3 linked regions of the Daphnia pulex genome follow. The protein of the gene in region 2 binds, or shares a complex with, the protein of the main gene of each other region. Links are inferred from orthologs where the notes say so. Each region holds a gene or a part of one and is shown on either strand. Other genes may lie near its edges. The genes, in order: ribosome production factor 2 homolog, ribosome biogenesis regulatory protein homolog and HEAT repeat-containing protein 3-like.

Region 1 (7,130 bases), on a different chromosome or scaffold from region 2:
TTATTCGTTAAAAAAGATCTTACTTTTTTCCATTCTTCCTTTTTCCAACATATAAACTTATTCTAATAGTTTAGGAAAATCTACTTTCCAGTACCTCCGCGTTGAATTCAGTTGGAATTTCATATCGACAAAATCCGCCGGTTGTTGCTCACATTGAACTTGATCATCTCGAGACGGAGTTTTAGGCAGCAAAAGGTGCTGTGTGCTTGGTAAAAACCCATCCACTCACCGCTAACCCTGATGGACGCATCATGTCGAAATCCACAAACAAAACTAAGTTGACATTTGAAGGAAAACGGACGCCACTCAATTCCCAGTTTGAACGTGGCATCTGTCACATGGCTGCTGAGTGGTAGGACAGTCAATCACTCAAGTGGCTTCTCTTTGGCGTATTATTTTCCATATGTCTACGTGACTGGATGCGCGTTTCTTTCACACGTCGTCCCTTTTTACAAAAGGAACAGAGGAGGGAATCCCCCCCAACCCATCTATTGTGGGCCTATAAAAGACGGGCTTCCCCATCGCTTAGACAATCAGTCAACTGTCAAATCTCCAACAGCAGCAAACTAACCGGTGAGCAAGATAACCGACAATTCTTTCAAGTTGAATTCAACTGTAATTGTTTCCTAAAAGTCGCATCACCAGTACAATGGACGTCCTCAACTCAGTCAACGTTGCTGCCGTTCAAAGCACCTGGGCCGTCATTAAATCGGACATCAGCACTTTTGCTCCCCAATTCTACGTGGCGTAAGTATCTTAAATTTTTACTATAAATAATTGAAAGATACTAACCATGTGTGACTAATCCACTTGGAAGACTGTTGACTGCTCATCCGGAATACCAAGCCATGTTCCCCACCATCGCCAATGTTCCATCCGGCCAACTGTTGAGCAACGCTGCTCTCATAGTAAGTCCAAAACACTTTGCAACCTGTAAATTAAACAAAATCTAAATGTGATTTCGGCCAATTCAGACCTTGTCAGTCAATGTCGTCACCAAATTGTCGGAAATCATCGACTCTTTGGGCAATCCGGATGCTCTCAATGGCAAATTGGTTGATCTGGCCAACCAGCATAAACAGCGCGGAACAACTCGAGCCCATTTCGACGTGAGTATCTTATACAAAGTAGTTGAGAAAATTTAGATTACTTATCCAATGAATTGTAGAACATGGCCACCGTGTTGCTGGTATTTTTGGCTGCCACTCTCGGCTCCGCCTTCACTCCGGAAGCCAAACAAGCCTGGACATCCACCATGCAAGGCATCAACACCGTCATCGAAGCTTCTGCTTGAAATCCATTACTCCCACATTGCAAGTAGCTGCTTTTCCCACTACCGATCAAAATAATTACATTACAGGCATATGTCAATAAATTGAAATGACGAGTAATTAAAAATACACAATTCGGCATTTCCATTTTACCTAGTTTTTGTGGGGAGATAAATTCTTGTAGTTTTAATTCAAAATAGTGGTGATACCTCTGGCAAAGCTAAGATGTGATTATTCATTTAACACTAAACCATAAGCCTTTAAGTGCTAGAAGCGGAGTCGACCAATTCCCAGTTAAATTTGTTTAGTTCCTTTTCTTTCTCAAATTCTAACCGATCCAGCAAATCCATCGATACTGGAAAAATTAAAGTTAATTCAAAAATGCTTAAAATAATATTACCAATAGAGTAACCACAGGTCCACAGGAGAGAAAAACACTAAATGGAGGTACCTAATAAGCCTGATAATTTAAATCGTGCACAGTACATACGAGTCGTGTTTGTCAAAGTCTTTATTAATTTCAACCGTTCACTTCTTGGAAAGTTTTGATGCTTTTTTGGGTGACTTTTCAGTCCGCAGAGCTCTTCCGCGTTTAACTTGCAACTTTCTGTAATCTTGACGTGGCATGTGAATGCGGCCGAGTTTCGAACCGAAAACGTCCTTGGACATGTTCTTGACTTTCTTGGGCTGTTTAAAAGCAAATAATACTATTCAGTAAATTTGAAATGGAAGTAGCCAATAGAAAAATTACCTTGGCAGCGCTTGGTGTGCGACACGCCCGTTTGAATAGATCAGCTGAGGCCAATTTGGTTCTTCTGATGACCAAGTCGGCCGAAGGTCCGATTTCTTCCAATTCAATATGAGGAGTTTTAGTTCCACTTTTGGTCATCAAAATCCTTTTATAAAAACTTGATTATTACAATCTCAAAAATGAAATGAAAAATATAGAAAAATACTTGTAACTGCGGAGGAAAATCTTGCCGTCAACAGCCGTGAAAGAAAGAGCATGTTCGAAACCAGCAAGACGAACTTGTTCCACTACTTCTCCACGGAAAAAGTCGATGAGCAAAGATTTGCATTTGGAATACTCTTCGTTTTGGTGCCAGACATCACCAGAGAAGATCAGGCAAGGCTTGTTACCATCCATCACTTTGGCGTTGCGAATTGCAGTCAAGGATTTGAACTGTTCCACACCAAATTCAATCATGTCGAGCAACTGGTGGTCAAACATTCTTCCTGAAAATTTAGATGACTTTTAGTTTAGGCCATAAATTCAAACAAAATTTAGAGATCAAATTGTACCCAGAATAACATTGTTGGGCCTCTTTTTGTTGTCTGAGCAGAATGCAAATAAAGAATGGTCATATTTCTGAGTCAGTTCTTCTATCGGTTTAACATCTTCAAATGGATTGTAAGGGTGTTTCTGACCAAAGTATGTTGATTGCATCCGTTTGATGGCATACTGAAGTAGAACGAAATGTTAGAAAACATACAACCCAAAAGCTTATAAGCTTGTAGCAATAGTACCAAATCTTTGACAAATTGAAGGGATGTGACGCTGGCAGTAGAACCACGAAGCATCAAAGCTTGTTTAGCCAATTCAACGATTTTTGGCTCTCGTTTTGCCAGCATCCGCTTACCGCGGTGGGTCTTGGGTTTCCTGCAATTAACAGATGATAATCAATTTTACGAAAAAATACTTGTAATTTCTTCACTTACGTAATTCTGACGCTCATTCTGTTAACAGTATATTAAGGTACGAAATGTCACACAAAGTAATATTTAACAAGTTTGGATAACTTGTTAGGATTTTAGACAGACACGTCTCCCAACCAACACGCGGTTTGAGTTTGAGTGTAACAATTCGTCTGCTAGAACTTGAGTCTCAAATTGCAACATGGCGAAATTAAATTTTGTAAAAAATGCTACAATTTCTCTGAAATGGTACAGAAAAAAAGGGATAAAATAAAATTGAACTTGAATCAAATAACTAATGACATTTGTAAAATTTTTCTTTAATTTTTCATCTTGTTTAGCGTCTTTGGCAACGCCGTATCTCAAATCAAAATAACAGTGACAGCATGCCCCGAAACGAAAATATCTGCAAAAATCAAGAGTAAAAATGAATACTGTCGTTATTGGTTCAGAGATTGGCAGTCAAAAGTGCTGTCTTCCTGTTGCGGAATTTGTAACTTTAAATTGTCAAGTTGGATGCCCAGTGAAAGTGACGACAAACAAGGGAACCTTCATTTGCAAGCTCTTCCCTAGGACTGATTTGAAAAATGATGCAGTTGTTGAAAATACCGTTCAAATTTACAGTGAACGTAGAAAGTTTCTCATCACTCATCCAGTAGTGACGAGGGATTTCAGTGTTTCAAAATTGTCACTGAAACCGGCAACAAGTATAACTGTAACTATCGTAACTGATAGTTTTCAAAGTGTCAACCATTTGAAACAATGCAAGTTGCCCCTGTTGATCAAGAGTCTTCTTTCAAACAAGATCATCACCCCGCTTTCGTCAATCACTGTTGGCAAATACTTTTCCGCAGGGAATGTAGAGAAAATTTTGGTCCTGGAAACGAAACCTGACGGTGGAGCTCTGACAGTGTCTGCCAAAACCCAAGTCAAGATTGAAAACATCATCACAGAGAAATGGATGAAAATTCAAGAACGAGTCCAAACGACAAGAATGGGAGGAGTAGATGAAGCCTACAACAAATTGAAAGAACTAGTGGTGTATCCTCTACAGCATCCCCAAGTGTTTGCTCAACTTTGCGCGCCTAGAGGAATTCTTTTACACGGTCCACCGGGCTGCGGGAAAAGTTCAATCGTCCAGCAACTCTGCGCTGAAAACGGCCTGTTTCTCATCCCAGTCACTTGCTCGGATCTCTCGTCATCCGATCCAGGAGGCAGCGAAGACAAATTGAGAAACATTTTCAAGGAAACTTTAAGCGTGTCGAGTCCCACAGTTCTATTTCTGGACGGCGTGGATTCCATTTGCCCTAAACGAGGTGGTCAAACCCACACAAATCGTCTGATTACTTGCCTAACGGGCTTGATTGACGACGTTCATACTAACCGCAACTTGACCATCATGGCGGCCACCAACAGGTTGGAAGATGTCGATCCTTCTCTTCGTCGGCCAGGCAGACTCGACAGAGAAGTAAATTTAATTGTGATTCCTAATTTGCTTTCGTCTAATTTTGATTTGATTTAAAAGGTCCATTTGTATGCCCCCAATTGCCATCAACGGGAAGAGATCATTAAAGCCATCTGCGAAGAAATTGAATTGTACACAGACTTGGAAGATGTGAAACAAGTGGCTGAAATGACCCCCGGCTACGTTGGCGCAGATTTAAATCTTTTGTGTCGTGAAGCCCTCTATCTTTCACTGGTAATTTTGTAATAATAATTTACTCCAGACGAAGCTGATGACCAACTAATTTTCGGGACAGGATCGATGCCTATTGACACTCAAAGAGTGGAAGGCAGCTATTGGTCGTGTTAGGCCATCCGCTATGAGAGAAAGTACCGGAAGTGGCGAGGTAATAACTTTGACGTTTATCTCCGTAAAAAATTATTTGAAAATTAATTTTTTGATTTTGCACAGTTCCGTCGAGTCAGCTGGGATGAAGTCGGAGGATTGGAAGAGGCCCGTATGTACATCCGCCGCAGTGTTGAATGGCCGCTGAAACACCCTGAAGCTTTTGAGAGGCTCAATGTGCCCCGGCCGAAAGGCGTTTTAATTTACGGCCCTCCAGGCTGTGGAAAATCGCTCCTGGTCAGAGCGGCAGCCACTTCGTGCACGGCTTCCTTTCTGTCTATTTCAGCCGCCGAACTCTTTTCTCCGTTCGTCGGAGACTCGGAGAAAATGGTCTCGGATCTCTTCCGGCGAGCCCGCCAGGCAGTTCCGGCTATCCTATTCCTAGACGAATTAGGTAACTTAATCAATCCCTCGGAATATTATTGAAAATATTTTAATTTGGTGATTTTGTAGACGCAATGGTTGGTGGACGTACCAACGCCAATCACGGCCGGACAGCCCAACTGGGTGTGGTGGCGGCCCTGCTTCAAGAAATGGACGGCATTTCATCCAGCCAAGGAGTCGTGGTAGTTGGCGCCACCAATCGACCCGACAAAATCGACGGGGCTCTACTTCGTCCAGGTCGTTTCGACTCGCTGGTTCACATCCCACATCCAGACGAAACTGCACGATTGGCCGTCCTTCAGTCACTCTGCCGGAAGATGCCGTTGAAGGAGGTCGACCTGAAAATCCTGGCGGAAAGAACGGAACTCTTTTCAGGAGCTGATTTAGAATCCCTGACCAAAGAGGTGACAAAACTTTTAACCTTAAATGTTCTTGAATAATAAAAACAACTTTTGCGGAATTATCAGGCCGCACTGGGAGCCCTGGAAGAAGATTTATCTGCCTTTGAAATCCTCCAGCGACATTTCGAACAAGCCCTGGCCAAAGTCCCGCCTTCTATCACACTTGAACAAGCCGATTTCTATCGGGATTACGCCTCTGGTAAGAGAAAATAAAAAGCCAGTCACTGAAAACAAACAAAAGATTGCGGTTGTATTCCATTTCGTGTTAGTTAAGCTCGCCAATTAAGATTAGGACTAGCTACCGTTTAAGCCCCAAAAATTCCAAAGACAAAAAGACACTGGGAAATAAGAGATTGAGAGGAGTTAAACATAAAAGCAAGAGAGATCATTTTAAAATTGATTCTGTTTCGCCTTTTGCAGCAATTTGAGATTTTCCGTCGCACTTTTCCATTGGGGGTCCAGTGACAGGGCTCGCTGGTACGACTGCTCGGCCAGCTGGAATTTTTTCCATCGGTGATAGAGCACACCTAGATTGGTGTGGTAGATGGGACTGTGCGGATTGAGTCGAATGGCCGACAGGAAGTGGAGCTCGGACGCTTTAAATTGACTCTGCTTGCCTAAAATTCCGGCCAGACTGAAATGCAAATTGGCTTCGTTGGGTAGAATGGCCAGGGCTTCCAGCGCCGTAGATTCCGATCGTTGCGATTGACCTGATTTGTTAACCAAGATTAGTTAAATTGAATTAAAATGTTAAATTATTAAAAGTTTACCTGTATTGTCCAACATAACGATGAGATTGGTCCAGGCCAGGACGTGGGTTGGCTGCAACAAAGTTGCGTTCCTGAAGGCTTCTTCCGCTTCCCGGAATTGTCCCAGCTCCAAATACTTTTAAAAATTGAATTTAGTAATTAACATCAAATTTGAATGAAATACATTAGAACTTACGAGGTTTCCCAGGTTGTAATAGCAGTCGGGATACTTTCGACGATGACTCAAGGCCGTCAAGTAACTCACGCGGGCCTCTTTGTGCTTACGAAGAAGTGCCTGGACGATGCCCAGGTTCATCCATGCGGCAGCGAAATCGGGTCTAACACTAATAGCTTTGACAAGCCAATCCTCAGCTGACTGAAAACGGCCCAAATCTTTGAGCAAATTGGCCAAATTGTTCATGGCCTGGTCGTAGTCCGGATTCAGTTCCAGGGCCTTTTCGTAGCGATCGATGGCCACGTCTCTCAATCCCCGATCCGCCGCATTTTTGCCAATGTTGTAGTGAACTTTGGCGTTGAGCGGACAAACGGCCAATCCGGACAGGAATAGCCGACCCTCGTCTTGCCAATCCAGATTCCGGCGGAAGGATTTCAAACCAAAGGTTAGGATGACGGCCAGGAGGCAGCCCCGCAAGATCCACAATTTGGAATGGCCAAACGGAAAGAGGAAAGTGTTGAGTTTCTCGGCACCGTAGACGAGAATGAGACAGTATCCAGCGACGGGCATGAAGAGAACTCGTTCGGCCACCACGAAACCGACGCG
Region 2 (6,933 bases):
TTTGATAGAAGCAACTATCTTTTGCTTAGCTCGAAGAAGTCTAGTTTTCTGTTTTCTATCGTCCACATCCATTCCACCATCAAAGATTATAATTGCATTAATGTTACATTTCTTTAGCAATCTGAAGATTTCTCTGACATGATCAGAAAAGATGTTGTAGTCACCACCGAAGCATGCATTCTGTTTTGGGCAGTTGAGGTACAAAAAATGAAGTAGGTTGCTTCCTAAAGATAATTACAGATTTAAGTTTAAAAATTTTAACAGCTGAGCTTGAACAATTTACCATCAATGACAATGTCAGAGTTGTGCAGTTTGTGATTGGTTAGGCACTTTTCAGATCTCGCCTGAATGTACGAAGACAGACCTCTGATACCCATTTTGTGTAAGTCAAATGTAGTCAAACATCAGAAAAAGCTAATAAATTATATGGGAAATATATATAACACAATTAACACAGCAACTGTTACTGTTTCCACTTGTTTTTCACAAGTCCGATTTTTCTAAATGAATCACGTCATCACGTGGAGTTCGTTTCCAAAGATTGTCTGCTTAGTGAACTGTTGCTAGGCAACCCAAGTAAACAAATCCATGCAGTTTCATATTAAATTAAAACGACGTAGCCCATCAACTCCGCAGTTGTTCTTGAATCCCTTTCCTTAACTGTTGTATTAAAATCTAGTCTATTAAAGTTAAGTTCTGTGATTCTCTAGGAAATGTTGTAGTGATTTTGCAGCTAATAGTTTGTCAAGAGCAAGACTTATTTGCAAGTGATAAATGGGGGATTGGCTCCACAGTTTTATATTCGCCTCCTGGGATAATGTTGTAGGTCCCAAAGTGTTGAAGAAATGGCCTACATCTGGTTTTGTATTTTCCGATGAAAACACAAATTTTGATGATGAAGTGGATGAAGTGGGCATTGAAATCAAAGAAGAAAAAGGCATTGATTCAACTGATGAATCAAGTTCACAGAGAAAGACTTTTTCCATGAAAGTTGAAGAAGATCAAATTGCAAAATATATTTCAGTCCATACCTTGACTGGTCATTTGGCAAAAACAAAGCATACTGATTATGATGGAGTAAATGAAATCTCTCTGAGTGTTCCAGCACTAGGGTTTGCATCCCAAACTTCTACATTTTACTGCCTATGTTTCTCTAATAATTATGGAGAAACCAATAATATTTGTATTGAAGAACCTCATATGGTCTCACTCAGTATGGTCTTCTACTACGAAAAGTGCCTTGATGTCTTCTGGAATCTTCAACCTCTTATTGTGCATCTACTGAACAAAACAGTGGAAAGGCTTAAAGTTGGGCTATCTCAGGTTTCTTCTTTTTTTTAAATCATATCCATTCCAATCACTAATTTTTTAAAGTTTTTATTTTGCCTCTAGGATTTAAACTACCATGAAGAGCCCATTGTTTCACAATGGCTTGGAGAAATCCATCAAATACTGAAAGACAGCAGCAGGCTAAGAATTAATATGCCCCAATTAACAAGTCCCATCTCAATAAAACAGATAATGTTAAAGCTATCTCTGGTAGCTTGGGATGTGGCTATCACATCAATGCTCACAACTATGGGATCTTGCTGTGTTGTTGGAAAAAGTGAAGAACATATCAATGGGGTAATTCTGCATGCACATTTCATACCCAAATAAACATAAATTGATTTAATGTGTTACAACTTTTAGGCTATAGATGTATTAGCATTTTTTCTTCCAGATACTCATCAGATTCTCTGTTCGCGTTATGCTGCGAAAACATTCGCTAGTGGACTATTCATTCAAGTAAGTGTAGTTTTACTGATCCCAGCGGACAAGCGTTAAATATAATCCTCGTTTTCTATTTTTCAAAGGGACTGTTAGAGAATGTAAATGGAGTGAGAGACATAAATTGTGCAGACATTTTGTTGAATGAATTTCCTCTCACATTACTGGACCTTTCGCAGAGGGGCAAAATCAAATTTTCGGGAAACGTTCATGAGCACTATCGAAGTAAACAGCGTCACGCTCGTGAACAAGAGTTTAATATTATCCAGCGAAGAGAACCAAACATTCCTTTTTCAACTGAGTAAGTGAATAGAAATTTTCCTGTTAACAAAATTTGATATAATTCTGTTTTTTTCCTTACAAAATAGGAGCGTTTTCCGTCCATGTGGTGAGTCTAGCCGCTATGTTCGATGGTGTCTGGAGCAGCTTGCTACTCATAATACTGAGCACTGGTCTAGAATCATTGCAGCTTTCCATCAAGCATTGGCTTTGCAAGCTCATGATGTTATTAAAGCTTTTCAATCAAAACCCTTCCCGTAAGTTCCCGCTTAACTATTAACGAAAATTTATTCATCATCAGTTAAGTACGCTAATATTGCACCTTTAAATATGTAAGAAATGGAGAGAGTCTCAAACAAATGCGAAATCAATTGAAAAAAACAATGAAGATAGCCGAATCGGATTTCTGGCTTCTTGTTTCTACAGCTGAACGACTTAAGCCCGGATTTTGCCGCATATTTGCCAATTACAGGTTTTGAGTAATATAAATTCCAATGTTATGTTCTTGATAAAAGGCATTGACTGCAACTATAATAAAGCATCGTGATTCAACTTGATTCTTTGTCTTCATGGTTTTATGCTGTCTGTGTCTACCAATAGTTGATTACTTAAATTTTCAAAATAACGTAGGTTGTGTAGCACACGGTTAACTTATAGTAACGGAGGCTAAATATCTCTCAATGTAAATGGATTAAATTATACGTTATAACCAAGCTTACGTACACAATTAAACTCTTAAAATAAGCAACAAATAGTTAACCTTAAAGATTTTCCCTGTAATAAAAAAAGTAATGCTGAAACTCGAAACTTCACAATTGTATTGTATATGGAATACTTCATTCGTTTTAGTTTTTATTTCCAGTACGTTTTCCTCCTTTCTTAACGGTGCTTCGCCCAGCAGAACGGTCCCCCTTTTTACCACTCATTTTTTTATCTTTAGTTCCCTTGTGTTTTCTTTTACCAAGATCTTTTTTCAACTGAGTTTTCGATTTCTTCTCCATGCCTTTACCCTTATAGTCGAGGGATCCCGGAGTGTTTAATTCCCGATTTACGGCTTTATCGATGTCCAGTTTTGGTTTCTTGCTACTCAGCTTGTTCAATATGTCAAGACTACAAAGAAAAAAAAATAGCTGTAGAAAACCATTACTAATCACAATAATTTATATTGATACCTCTTTGATGTTTCTCTCTTGATATCACCAACCAATGGATCAAAATGTCTTTTTTGTCCACTCTTCAAAACAGGCTTTTGCTCTTTAAGGTTAGGTTGAAATTTACCCACTGATGCTGTCGCTGTGTGTGCTATGAAAACTGACCGATTAAGTTGCTCTGCTGTTGGCCTTTCAGTTGGCTCTAAACTGATTTTGGCTTTTGTTTTCGACTTCTGCATTCTGGCAGAAATGTTTCTCAGCCGCTGCAATTCATTCTTGGCAACAGACTCTTGTTTTTTTGTTTTACGCAATGCAATTGGATCAACATCATCCTTGGCATTTCCTGGGACTTCAACAACCCAATTTTTCTCTTTTTCAGCAAGAGCTTTTTTGAAGCCAAATCTAGGAACCCATTTCTACAGAAATAAAAAAATAATATTGTTATTTGGACAAGTGACAAATTTATAAGTACGGTGAACATGCCTGAAGTTCTTCATCCCAGGTAGCTTTTGACTTCTTTCGTTTGGTGATCCCCTTCTCTTTAGCATACTTCTCCCACTTGCTGAGTGCTTTTTCTTTGGGTGCAGGCTTGGCTCGTGGAAGTCTTGTGGTAGCAGATGGCAGCTTAATCACAACTTCATTGTCCACTTTGATTGTTGGTAGTTGAAAAATCTGGTTGATCAAGAGTTGGACATTGTCTCTTGAAAGATTTGCGAGGTATGCCTCTTTGTCCGCTCTGTTGTTAGAGCAAAAACATGTTAAACACGTGTATGATACATAAAAATGTCATTTCGAGACGACTTACCTGAACTGATTAACGTCAATGTCATTAATGTCATAAGCTAGAAGATTTCCCACGTCGTATTCTAATTCTACAACTTTGTCAACTTGAATAGATTTTAGTTTTTCTGCTTCGTCTTCTGCCGCTTTGGAGAGCACGTTTTGAACGATGGAAGCAGCCATTGTGAAAAGGACTAACTTTTAATGAAGTGGCTCCAAGTTCGAAATGCAGTCGAAATACAAAACATTCGAATGTCTACCGCCAGGTGGACTCACGGTGCTGTCAACATTGCAATCACGTGTATGTGTGATGTGTAAAAGAAAACAAGAAGAACTCGAAAGACTCCAGTTATCTCTTTATTACTGGTTGGGACCTTTGCATTTAATCTTGTCACTTATCATTGGCGGTGTATGAGCTCTCAGCGTAAATTTTGTGTTTTTAAAGTCGTCAAAGTAGTTAACGTGGAGGAGCCAGTGGGCTTCATTTGTTGTCATATCTGATTTCGTTTGATAAGAAAGTTGTGACAAGCTGGCATTTAAATGATAGGTTACTGATTCAATCTATTGTAAAGGGGGGAAAAGTAAAGAGACACTTTCAGAATATTTTTACAAAAAAATGGTGATTTTTTTCTTTTCCTAAGTTTGTTAATTTACTCTCATTGTTTATTTGTTTTTATTTTTTCAGTTGACATTTTCATCATTACTACTGCTAAGCTCAGTGCTTGGTTGCATTATTATGCCAATCCAAGTTGTGGAAGCTGCAGAAAATGCTGACAGTGAACTACCATTGTACTATGGCTGGTTTGTTGAAACTGAGTATTCATCCAGTTTCTTGAACAGAAGCCGTAAAATGTTGGCCGACACTCTTCAAGAAATTCCAGATTTCTTGAAAGATGTACAAAACTTTACTCAGAAAACATACATAACTGACATCTTATTGCATTACACAAGAGAAAATGCTGATGAAGTTCTTCATTGTACTGCAATGTATAATGGAGTTTCTCCCAACTATGTTCCAGGGGCTCAAGAATATTCTGAGAAACAGGTTGTGAAGGTAAAATGTAATGGAGAACAATGAAACAAAGCATGTTTAGGCATAAATATAAATTTTTTCTATTTTCCAAGGAAAATCTTAATCAGGTCTCGACTCTCCATTCGATTGGTTGGATCCTAACTCCTCGCACTTTCGGTGCCCGTATCAAATTAACGAAGAATCAGCTGTTGGTCTGGAATCAGAACGATACTGAAGGAAACCCTAAAGAAGCAAAAGTCAACACAAAAACATTTATTACTCCAATCACCTATGGTCAAAACCTTCGAGCATATAAAGAAAACTCGACAGATCAAGACCCTGACGTTATGGGTAAGATTTTACTATACAATATGGTATGTGTGTGGTTTGTTTAAGAATTTTTGCCATAGGAAATTTCCAACCAACGTCCGGAAATGGAAGCAAAGCGCATTTGACATTGGGTTGCTCACCTGGCGTCGGTGCTGTTACAACAGGATACGATCTTGTGGATCTGATTCGTTTGGAAGGTATAAACGGAAGCGAAGTGAAAACCTACGACATACCAAAAGGTGGGTGGCTAAGGAATTATGGAAATGGGCAGTGGGTTTTCTACCCAACTAAACAGTTTTTACTTGAGAGTACCTTTCTCGGTTACGACAGCGGAACTCACCAACTTGCGGCTTCGTTTAGCTTATTGTGTTTGTGTTGCGCCTTTGCGATTCTTACTAAGCAAAAACTATAGTTAGCTCAATTCTAAATCCATTTGCCTCTCTTCCGTAAACGTGTAAATCGGAAATTGCTAAACATTCAATAACTTTGTGAACTTGATTAAAGTTATGAAATTGGTAATCTTTGATTTATTCAATGCAACAGTAATTAAAGAATTGGATTGCGGTAAAGAAAACGGGATCCAAGAAAGTCAACCATTAAACATTGTTAGATATGTAGAGGAAGAATTTATTTTGACGCGTAGAAAATAGCGATGAATGTTTGTTTCTACTATCTTCGCGATCCGCCACCTTCGCTTGCCATTGCTTCGTAGAGCCACTGGTAATAAATTTCCCAGCTACGGCGAACACGTTTGTCAGTTGTGGTATTGCTGGCATTTTCTGGCAAACCCTGGACAATGTCCACTTCAAAGACATCACTAAATCTGGTTGCATTTGGGTGGCCATGTATCTGATGTTCGTACAGGACCGATGGGGGGGTTTTGTGGATGTCCTTTGTGAAAGGCATTCCTTCCGCCACGAAGGCCAACCTGTCTTCGTGATTCATCCAAGCTTCTAGCATCTCGCCGGTATGAGTCTTGTAACGAGCTTCGAAGTTTATAGATTGACCGACGTAATTAAATTTACATTTGGAATCGATACATCGAAAACGGTAAATACAACACAGCTGTCCTATTTCCTTTAACGGGGTGGATTGAATGGGAGACAATATTTCTCGGAAATATTTCCTCAAACTGTCATCGAAACAGATGGTTTCACTGCAGCATTGAAAGTAGATTTTCATAGGAACTTCATAAGGCCTAACGAATTTCGCACTGTGAGAGGAAATCAACTCGTTGAGACAACCATGAAGGAGAAAGTAAGATGATGAGTCAAACTTATCGTTGCTAACAGTTCCAAGAACCTGTCGAATCGTTTGCAGAAGGTTGGTTGCTGTTTGTCCATGAACGTCCACGGAAGTTGAGATTCCATCATTTGTAAGAACTTCTTTCATCCTCTTTGTAGTTTTGTCGTAGATTCGAACTTTATCTACTTCTTCTTTTTTTGATTTGGCGGATTCTGATCCGGAATCATCTTTCGCTCCGGTTCGGTCATTCATCATAGTTCCACCCAACTTGCAATTCTATTTTCAAAACGACTTAATTAACAGTTGTTACCGCAGAATGCCAGGATTACTAAATTAAACTACTGACTAAAACTTACTTCGTGTTGG
Region 3 (7,896 bases), on a different chromosome or scaffold from region 2:
ATTTTAAGTAATAGGGTGGGGGCCTAAGTAGAGATTCGACAACCAGTAGAATGGAAAGGAAACTGCGTCTCCCACACCAAATAGTTGGATTTCATATCATTTAACTACAGGAAAACCTATTGGAAAAGTTAAGAGAAAATTCTTTTTAGCGTCCGTGCACGGCTAATTTGCTTTCTTTTATTTTTATAGATTGGAAAATTGTATCGTTCGGCCATATATAAGGGACTGCTAAACTTCATGAAACAACAGTTGAGAATCGTTCTTTGTAATTGCTTGAATAGAAAAAATGAAAAAGGTAAAGCGCAGTTATAGTTGTTGGTTGTATGGATTTACAAAAATCTGATTTTTGCATATTCCAAATAGTTTACGATTTCGATCCTGTGCTTGCTATTAGTTGGACTGGTCCTAGTTCAACATGGCACCGAGGCAACGGATGGGAAAGGTAATATTATTTCAATTTTAATTGAATTTTGAACAATTTCCTTAATAATTTGTAGACTCGGGTTACGGCGCGGAATTTGGAGCTGTAGAAGAATACAATAGCGGTGAATACGAAGGCGGAGAATACGGAGGTGAGAAAGGTTAGCCCAGCTATGCTTAAGTAACTCGAGAAATCTAGAAATCACAATAATTTACTCACAAATAAAAATCAATTGTATAGCTTTTTTTGGTGTTGGAAAGTTAATTAATTCTTCTTATAATCAATTACGAATAGGACATTTTAAAGGACGCCATAAGGGGCACCATCACAAGGGGCACCATCACAAAGGGCACCATCACAAGGGGCACCATCACAGCGGTGGAGAATACGGGGGTGGAGAATACGGTGGCGGGGAATATGGAGGTGAAAAAGGTCAGTTAAATTTTTATTTCTACGAATAAGAAGATTCCCTAAATTTGCAAATAAGTCATCGTTTTCGAATCTTTAATTTTTGTGACATCATCATAAAAGGGCACCACAAAGGTCATCATAAAGGTCATCATAAAGGGCATCATAAAGGTCATCATAAAGGGCACCACAAAGGTCATCATCAACATCATCATCAACATCACGGGTGAATTCTTACCCAATCATTCTTAATCAAATTGATGATAACTCGAGTTCTTAACAATTCACAGAGTTGGGGAATACGGCGGTGGAGGCTTTGCTTACGCATCGGCTGGTGGCTACTCATCTCATCCGGCGGCATCCTATTCTTCACAACCAGATTTTGGTTTCGGAGGCCACGAAGGATTCCAAGGATCGCCAGGATACGGTTATCCGTCAGCTCCAATTTTTCCATCATATGGTGATACCTTCGCAGGAGATTATTATTAGTAACTAATGGCACTATTCATTTCATTCTACCACTTGAAGTGGTTCAACCTTCATACCCTTTTGTGCATTCCAGTTTGATTCTGTAGAATTGATTTGATATCATTATAGATTATACACAAAGTTTCTGCGATACTAATTCCAGTTGCGATCGTATGTTTTGATTTCCACAGGTGGGAGTGATTTAATAAAGACTGAAGATAAATTTCTATTTTTGTGTTGAGCAGATTTGCTTCACACTTCTCTGAAACCTTTCGTCTAAACTTCGTGGATTTCCTAAAAATGAAAGTCCAGACTTTTTAACAAAAGAACTTTCGCTGCATGACCCGATCCTATACAGCCGTCCAGAGTCTATATGTTCAACATAATGGTTTAGTCTACAGATTGTCGTCGTGTAACTCTCACTTTTTCAAGACTTCATGCAGTGTTAGCCTTGTGTATTAAATTTGGACGCCCGAGTTATTTCACCCTAAATAATTCTTCTCTTGAAAATTTTGAAGTGTCACGATGAACATGTCGTCAAAGGAAACTGGGTGAATGAGGTTTTTTCCCGATTCCCGAGACGATTAACCAGCCGGTGAAGGGAAAAGAAATGTCCTTGAATCAGAAGATGCTTTGTGGACCATCGCTAGAGTCCCGTTCCGCTGGATTAATCGAATTGAAAGAATAGGAACAAGGGGAAAAGTTTACTTCACACGGTCACAACTGACTTTCATTTCTCTTCTGTGATGTAGGTCCCGGTCTTTGACACCAGACTCACACCTTACGCACGGTGGGCGATCTATATATAAACGACTGTTGCTGACCATTTCAAACCACAGTTGACCAACGTTCTCGGTGCAGCTTGTTGATCGATTAAACATGGCAAAGGTAATAATGTTTTATTACTTAAATGTTAGGCAAATAATATTTTGTATTTTCTTTAACGGGATTCAGGTTAACATGAACACGCTGAAATGTTTTCTGCTTTTCGGATTGGTGCTAGTCCATGGCACTGATGCTACCAAAGGAAAGGGAAGGGGTACGTATAATCTATAAATGTCTTAGATGATTATTATAATTTACTTAAAATCAAAAATAATAGGTGGCGGCGGCTACGGAATGAGCTACGGAGGAGGAGGTGGATATGGTGGCGGAGGACATGGAGGAGGAGGGGGATACGGTGGCGGAGGACATGGTAATTAAATTTAAATTTAAATTATTAATCCTTCATGATTAATTTAAGTATGTTTTCTAACTTTAATTAATTTAAATGTTACAGGTGGTGGTGGGTATGGCGCTGCACCTCCACAAATCATTTACATTCCTGCTCCTCAACCAGTATACATTCCCGCTCCTCAGCCGATCCATCACGCTCCTCCTCCGCCTAGACCGGCTCCTGTCCCTTCTTACGGTGGAGGTGGGGGGCATAGAGCTCCAGGAGGATCAGGAGGCGCACCAGTTCACGTTCATGTTCATTCTGCTCCTGTTCATCAATCGGCTCCTTCTTACGGTGGAGGCGCTGGATACGGTGGTGGAGCGTCCGGAGGCGGTCATTCCAGCGGCGGATACGGTGGGGCTTCCGGAGGCGGTCATTCCAGCGGCGGATATGGTGGGGCTTCCGGAGGCGGCCATTCCAGCGGCGGATATGGTGGGGCTTCCGGAGGCGGTCATTCCAGCGGCGGATACGGTGGGGCTTCCGGAGGCGGCCATTCCAGCGGGGGATACGGTGGGGTGTCAGAAGCTGGATATGCTTCTGCTCCATCTTTCCAGCCGCCTCCAGTTTCCTCTTATGGTCCTCCTCCTCCTCAAGGAGGTTATTAACTCCGCCGTTTTCCCTTTACAAATCCTGAATAATCTCAGAATATTTGTCATCCATTGCTTGAATAATTTCATCGGTCCTCATATATATTTCTTAAACTATTTTCACTATCGTCCTTGTCTTTACAGATTTTGAGAAGTATTCTTCACTACCGTTTTCTCAAGTGTTCCTAATAAACCAACTTTAATATTTACTATAATTCCGAATAAACATTTCTGTGTATAGTAGACTTGATAGTATTTTTTAGAGAAGTACAGAGTAACCATTAATTATCACATTCAAGGCTTTTTCAATAGGACAAATGAAAAAACGAACATCAACAATAGCTTTTTTCTGAATTCACTTGATAGTCTTTTTCGTCTTGTATTCTGCTCTCTTTTTACTTTACGATAGGACCCTTTATTAGTTTACTGAAACGGACGAATTTCGGTATTTCTTTATACAGTAAAAGAAAAAGTAAAAGTGCAAAAGTGCCATCTGGGGATAGAAGTAAACATTTCTTTTTTCGTCTGCTTATCAAACATGTGCTCTGACATGTTGAAAGGTTCTTGTGCAAGTCTTGTGCGGGAGATCGTTTCTGGTTTTTCGTTATCATAGTTACTTGTACGAAACTTGGATAACATAATTTTTCTCCATATTATTAATTTTGTCAGCTAGGTAAGTGAAAAATTTATTTCCATTTATTTGGATAAAAAATTAACCTCAACATACCGGTAGGATGGGGAAATCCAAATCGAACCGACATAATAAGCAAGTTCGTGATAATCCCACTGGACTCGCTAATAAATCTGACTCTGAAGAAATTGTGATGGATTGTGCTGTCAAGAGTCCTTATACTGGAACTGCCCTCTCGTCAGAAACCCTAAAGTCTTTTTCAAGACAGTTACAAAGTTCATCAGCAGAAGAGCGGGACTGTGTATAATACCTTTTATTCTCCCTCCCTCTTAATCATCTTCTGTAACTATGTTTTTCTTTGTTTAGGCTTGCCATGCATTAGCAGGATTGATAAGAAATAATGAGGATTCATGTGCAGCATTACAAGAAGGACTAATAAAAGGTATGCATCGTCAATTTATAAGAAAATTAGAATCAAAACGATTTACGCTTTTATTTAGTTCTTGGTCCTCTATTGCTGGATACAAGTGCCTCTGTTTGTCATTCTACTGCTTCAGCACTTCATACGATAATTTCAAAAGGAGGAGATCAAGCGATCAAGCTTGCCATTGAACACGACATTTTAACACCACTGATTGCTTTATTAAAGAGAATCCCACCACAGTGGAAACCTCATAAAGCACCTGGCAACAAAATTGATACTTCTACAGCCACCTTTCTAGAAACAGTTGCAACATTAAATCTTCTCTCCGAAAGCAGCACTCTAGCTGTTGACCGGATACATCGCGAAAACATAGTTTCCATGTTAATTTCGTATTTGGACGTAAATGCGTATGGCTTAGATGTTGTTTCGTCGGTTGTCCAGTTCCTCAGCACAGTAACTGAAGAACAGGGTGATACTGACTACACAGAAGTTTTGAAAAAAGAGATTATTTCGAAATTCCTCAATGTGAAAGAATCTAGCCCTTTATTGAAAACTCTATCACTTATGATACTTCTTAACTTGAACCATCAGCAGTTGAATTCAGGTAAATTCTGTGCTGATAAAATGTGTCTAGATTTGTATTAACAATTTTTCAAATTAAATCAGAATTGGGACAGTCAACTCAAGATATTATAAATATCCTGACTTCTTCTCTTTGCCTTGATCAAAGGAAGGCAGCGTCTTCAGTGGTCGATCATTTACCGACAACTCAAGGTTTGTTTCTATATTAATGCTAATCATATTTCGGCTTTTCAGTATCCTAATTTTGTTATAGATGAAAACGGTGGGGATGCAATGGAAGAAGATTCTTTGGCCTCTAAATTATACGATTCTGTCGAAGCTGCCGAAGAATTAATCTCTGCTCAAATAAAATCTCTGGAAATATTAACCAATATTTGTTGTTCTGGAGACGATGGCGACTCGGATGAATTCTACGAAGATGAATCCATTAGCGATGAATCACTGGGTAATGAAGGATTTCAAGAAAGCCTTATAGACTTGAATCCCGAGTTGAAGAAAGCTTTCATCGATGCGCGACTATTTCAACTGGTTATTGAAAAAGCAAAATTACCGGCAACGAATATAATTGAAGCTTTAAATCAGCACCCAACAGGTTAGTATTTAACTTGATTCAACTCTCATTCTGTAGTGGAAGGTAAATTGAAATAATCTTGTCTTGTTTTGGATTTCAGGAAAATCTCTTATTAAACGTTACGAAGCGCTCCAATGTATGGGGTTCTTGTGTTTAAGTAACATGGTGATGGTTTTCGAAGTTGACGATATTGGTGGCAGCAAGGATTTATTCGACATTTGGTGTGGCTTAGCAGTCGTGGCTTTCCAGGGTAGTAAGTCGGAACAGATGCTGGGAAGTGCAACTGCTTCTATGCGTGCCATAATTCGAAAATTGTCGTATCATAAAGACATAGTCAACCTTTTGAAGTTAGAAGACATCACTCTCCTCTGTCAGAGAGTTGTAGACTGTTCTCATCCTCAGTCAAAAGTGAATTTGCTTCAGATACTCGGCACACTTGGCTCAATGGCAGCTGGAGTTGAACCACCCATGTTGGAACCTCGATCTTCGATTGTTCGCGGAATCGGTCAAATCCTTCTCGACACTGCTTGCCTTTCTCCTGACTTGTGGATTACAGCTGAAGCTATGGATGCCTTATTTGATGTTTTCAAGGAGGATCACACAGACCCAATTGTTGGAGATGTTCAACTGGTGGAGCGTTTAAGAACATTGGCACCCACTTTCAAGCATCGTGTCCATTCACAACGTCGTAGCCTACCGGCGGATCACCTCCCAGTTGTTATGACTGCTAGAGACAATCTACTCCGCTTCATCAAGTATAAGACAAAGCAACGATCGTTAGCTAATCGATAATGTAATGTATGAATTGTTGAAGCTTTAACAAAAGTTGCTATTGGACTGTTCTTCATTTTTGGCATTTATTATATTGATTTGTTATTGGTTAGAGTTTTATAGCCTACAACAACCCCTTGAGAGCTTCTATTGAACTGAGAACATCAGCAATGAAAGGTCTTTCTTTGGGATCAACAACAAGCAAAGTGGAAATTAAGTCGTTTACCGACGAATTGACTCCTGGGGAAGTGGAATTTGGAAAATGATTCATTCCACTGGAGGCAGCCAAAGCAACGCTATCTCCTCGTTCAAATACCTCATCAAAAGGCGATTTATAGTAGCAGAGGGCATATAGCAGGCACCCCAAAGACTAAAAAAAAGTCACAATTTATGGAAAAAACTTAACTTTTAAAATAATAACAATTTAAAATACCCAGATATCAGTACGCTCATCGATGGTAGACGGACTTTGGATGTTAAAAAGTTCTGGTGCGCGATAAGTCATGGAACAACGTTCTGCTGCATCATCTTGGAGTCTCTGAGCGGCGTTGTAGCTGGTTATCTCCACGGTAGCAGGAGCAGCAGAACCTAACAAGGTAAGTCTAGAATTTATACTTCCGGAGTTAGAGTTCAAATATTACCAAGGTCCATAATGACTACGCGGTCGTTAGGGGCAAGTAAAACATTCGCGGGTTTTAGATCTCTATGTGCTACTCCAATAACGTGTATAGCAGCTAATCCTTCACAAATTTGTTGAAAATAGTTGAGAATGAGCTTGTCAGATAATGGCTCTTTCTTTAATAATCTCTTTTCTAGTAATGTTTGCAATGATCCATACTAGGTAATAAGAGTGCATGTAGATCATGAGGTAATTGATGCCTTAAAAAATCTTATTACCTTGTAAAATGGTAATAGAAGTAGGACTAAACTAGTTTGATTGCTTGAAATATCAGCACTTCCAACTGTTCTGAAAGCAAGACACTCAATAACTGAGGGATGGTTGATTTGCTTGTGGTATCGGATTTCTTGTTCTGCAGCTTGTTCATCTTCGGTGCTGTGACATCGAATTTTTTTTAAGGCGTAAAGGCGATCACTGGAAGCCTCGCTTACCAGGTCAACTGTGCTGAAACCACTACGAATTTTTAAAATTTTAGCGAGACATTTGTACATGTTGTGTAATAGCATTATTACCCTTGGCCAATAAGTTCACGCACAAAATATCGCTTCCCATCGATATCGTAATATTCTCTCGAACAAAAAACACTAAAAATACGTTGTAACATGACAGAAGTGGTTCTAAATGTCAGATCGTTGGACTAAATAACTGAATGTTGTTCGTCTGCTTCTGTCAAAAGTACAATCCCGTCATAATCGTATTTTCAAGTTAAACCTTGGGTTTGGCAACCAAAGTCTTGCTAACAAACAGATAAAAAAAATAAAAATAAATAAATTCCAGAGCAACGGAATACAACCTCGGCGATAAATTACAGTGTAAATCGTAAAACTAAAGCGACTGAGAAATTAGATTTTATTTGAATTTCCAATAATTTTGTAATACCTTTACATACTTAAACGGCTAAATCACAACAACAGAACTGTGTTAACAATTTTTAACGAAATTCTTTTGGTGGCGGAATGCGTGGAATTTTTCCAAACGAAAATTTGTCAGCTTTGAATTGTTGTATGTTAGTCTGACTTAACTGAGGGCCGTAGGACGAATTTTCAGCAACATGAGAAATTGCATGGATGTTGAAAGAATAGTTTACTGCAGATTGAATGGGAAGCTGAGAAGGTAATTTAAAGCTGAAAGATGGTGC

What was found.
Region 1: ribosome biogenesis regulatory protein homolog (region 2) and ribosome production factor 2 homolog share a complex: the UniProt entries of both Homo sapiens proteins name them as parts of the hexameric 5S RNP precursor complex. The link is inferred for Daphnia pulex from reciprocal best matches to the Homo sapiens genes RRS1 and RPF2.
Region 3: ribosome biogenesis regulatory protein homolog (region 2) and HEAT repeat-containing protein 3-like share a complex: the UniProt entries of both Homo sapiens proteins name them as parts of the hexameric 5S RNP precursor complex. The link is inferred for Daphnia pulex from reciprocal best matches to the Homo sapiens genes RRS1 and HEATR3.

The regions. Positions count from the first base shown.
Region 1 is NC_060026.1:16,286,243-16,293,372, reverse strand, and holds ribosome production factor 2 homolog, read right to left. Parts: upstream 3,151-7,130; 5' UTR 3,008-3,150; coding exon 2,991-3,007; intron 2,932-2,990; coding exon 2,799-2,931; intron 2,734-2,798; coding exon 2,574-2,733; intron 2,508-2,573; coding exon 2,228-2,507; intron 2,168-2,227; coding exon 2,023-2,167; intron 1,959-2,022; coding exon 1,800-1,958; 3' UTR 1,765-1,799; downstream 1-1,764. Other genes in the region: spermatogenesis-associated protein 5-like protein 1, read left to right, coding at 3,394-4,434, 4,492-4,665, 4,727-4,816, 4,882-5,209, 5,269-5,603, 5,667-5,813; protein O-mannosyl-transferase TMTC4-like, read right to left, coding at 5,991-6,310, 6,371-6,485, 6,546-7,130. UniProt on the Homo sapiens protein: Involved in ribosomal large subunit assembly. May regulate the localization of the 5S RNP/5S ribonucleoprotein particle to the nucleolus.
Region 2 is NC_060028.1:7,483,721-7,490,653, forward strand, and holds ribosome biogenesis regulatory protein homolog, read right to left. Parts: upstream 4,217-6,933; 5' UTR 4,164-4,216; coding exon 4,006-4,163; intron 3,937-4,005; coding exon 3,684-3,936; intron 3,617-3,683; coding exon 3,222-3,616; intron 3,160-3,221; coding exon 2,895-3,159; 3' UTR 2,851-2,894; downstream 1-2,850. Other genes in the region: protein asteroid homolog 1-like, read right to left, coding at 1-224, 284-377; uncharacterized protein LOC124209703, read left to right, coding at 775-1,323, 1,393-1,626, 1,693-1,788, 1,857-2,071, 2,139-2,306, 2,387-2,528; 2',3'-cyclic-nucleotide 3'-phosphodiesterase-like, read left to right, coding at 4,597-4,599, 4,666-5,034, 5,106-5,343, 5,403-5,734. UniProt on the Homo sapiens protein: Involved in ribosomal large subunit assembly. May regulate the localization of the 5S RNP/5S ribonucleoprotein particle to the nucleolus.
Region 3 is NC_060021.1:11,398,943-11,406,838, forward strand, and holds HEAT repeat-containing protein 3-like, read left to right. Parts: upstream 1-3,612; 5' UTR 3,613-3,773; intron 3,774-3,833; 5' UTR 3,834-3,834; coding exon 3,835-4,032; intron 4,033-4,097; coding exon 4,098-4,173; intron 4,174-4,231; coding exon 4,232-4,759; intron 4,760-4,821; coding exon 4,822-4,929; intron 4,930-4,990; coding exon 4,991-5,329; intron 5,330-5,408; coding exon 5,409-6,100; 3' UTR 6,101-6,150; downstream 6,151-7,896. Other genes in the region: pupal cuticle protein Edg-91-like, read left to right, coding at 287-295, 364-442, 498-581, 716-853, 953-1,055, 1,120-1,318; glycine-rich protein 5-like, read left to right, coding at 2,177-2,185, 2,252-2,336, 2,400-2,492, 2,577-3,118; serine/threonine-protein kinase 16-like, read right to left, coding at 6,204-6,449, 6,513-6,667, 6,721-6,916, 6,977-7,211, 7,271-7,362; nucleoporin NUP42-like, read right to left, coding at 7,690-7,896. UniProt on the Homo sapiens protein: Plays a role in ribosome biogenesis and in nuclear import of the 60S ribosomal protein L5/large ribosomal subunit protein uL18 (RPL5). Required for proper erythrocyte maturation.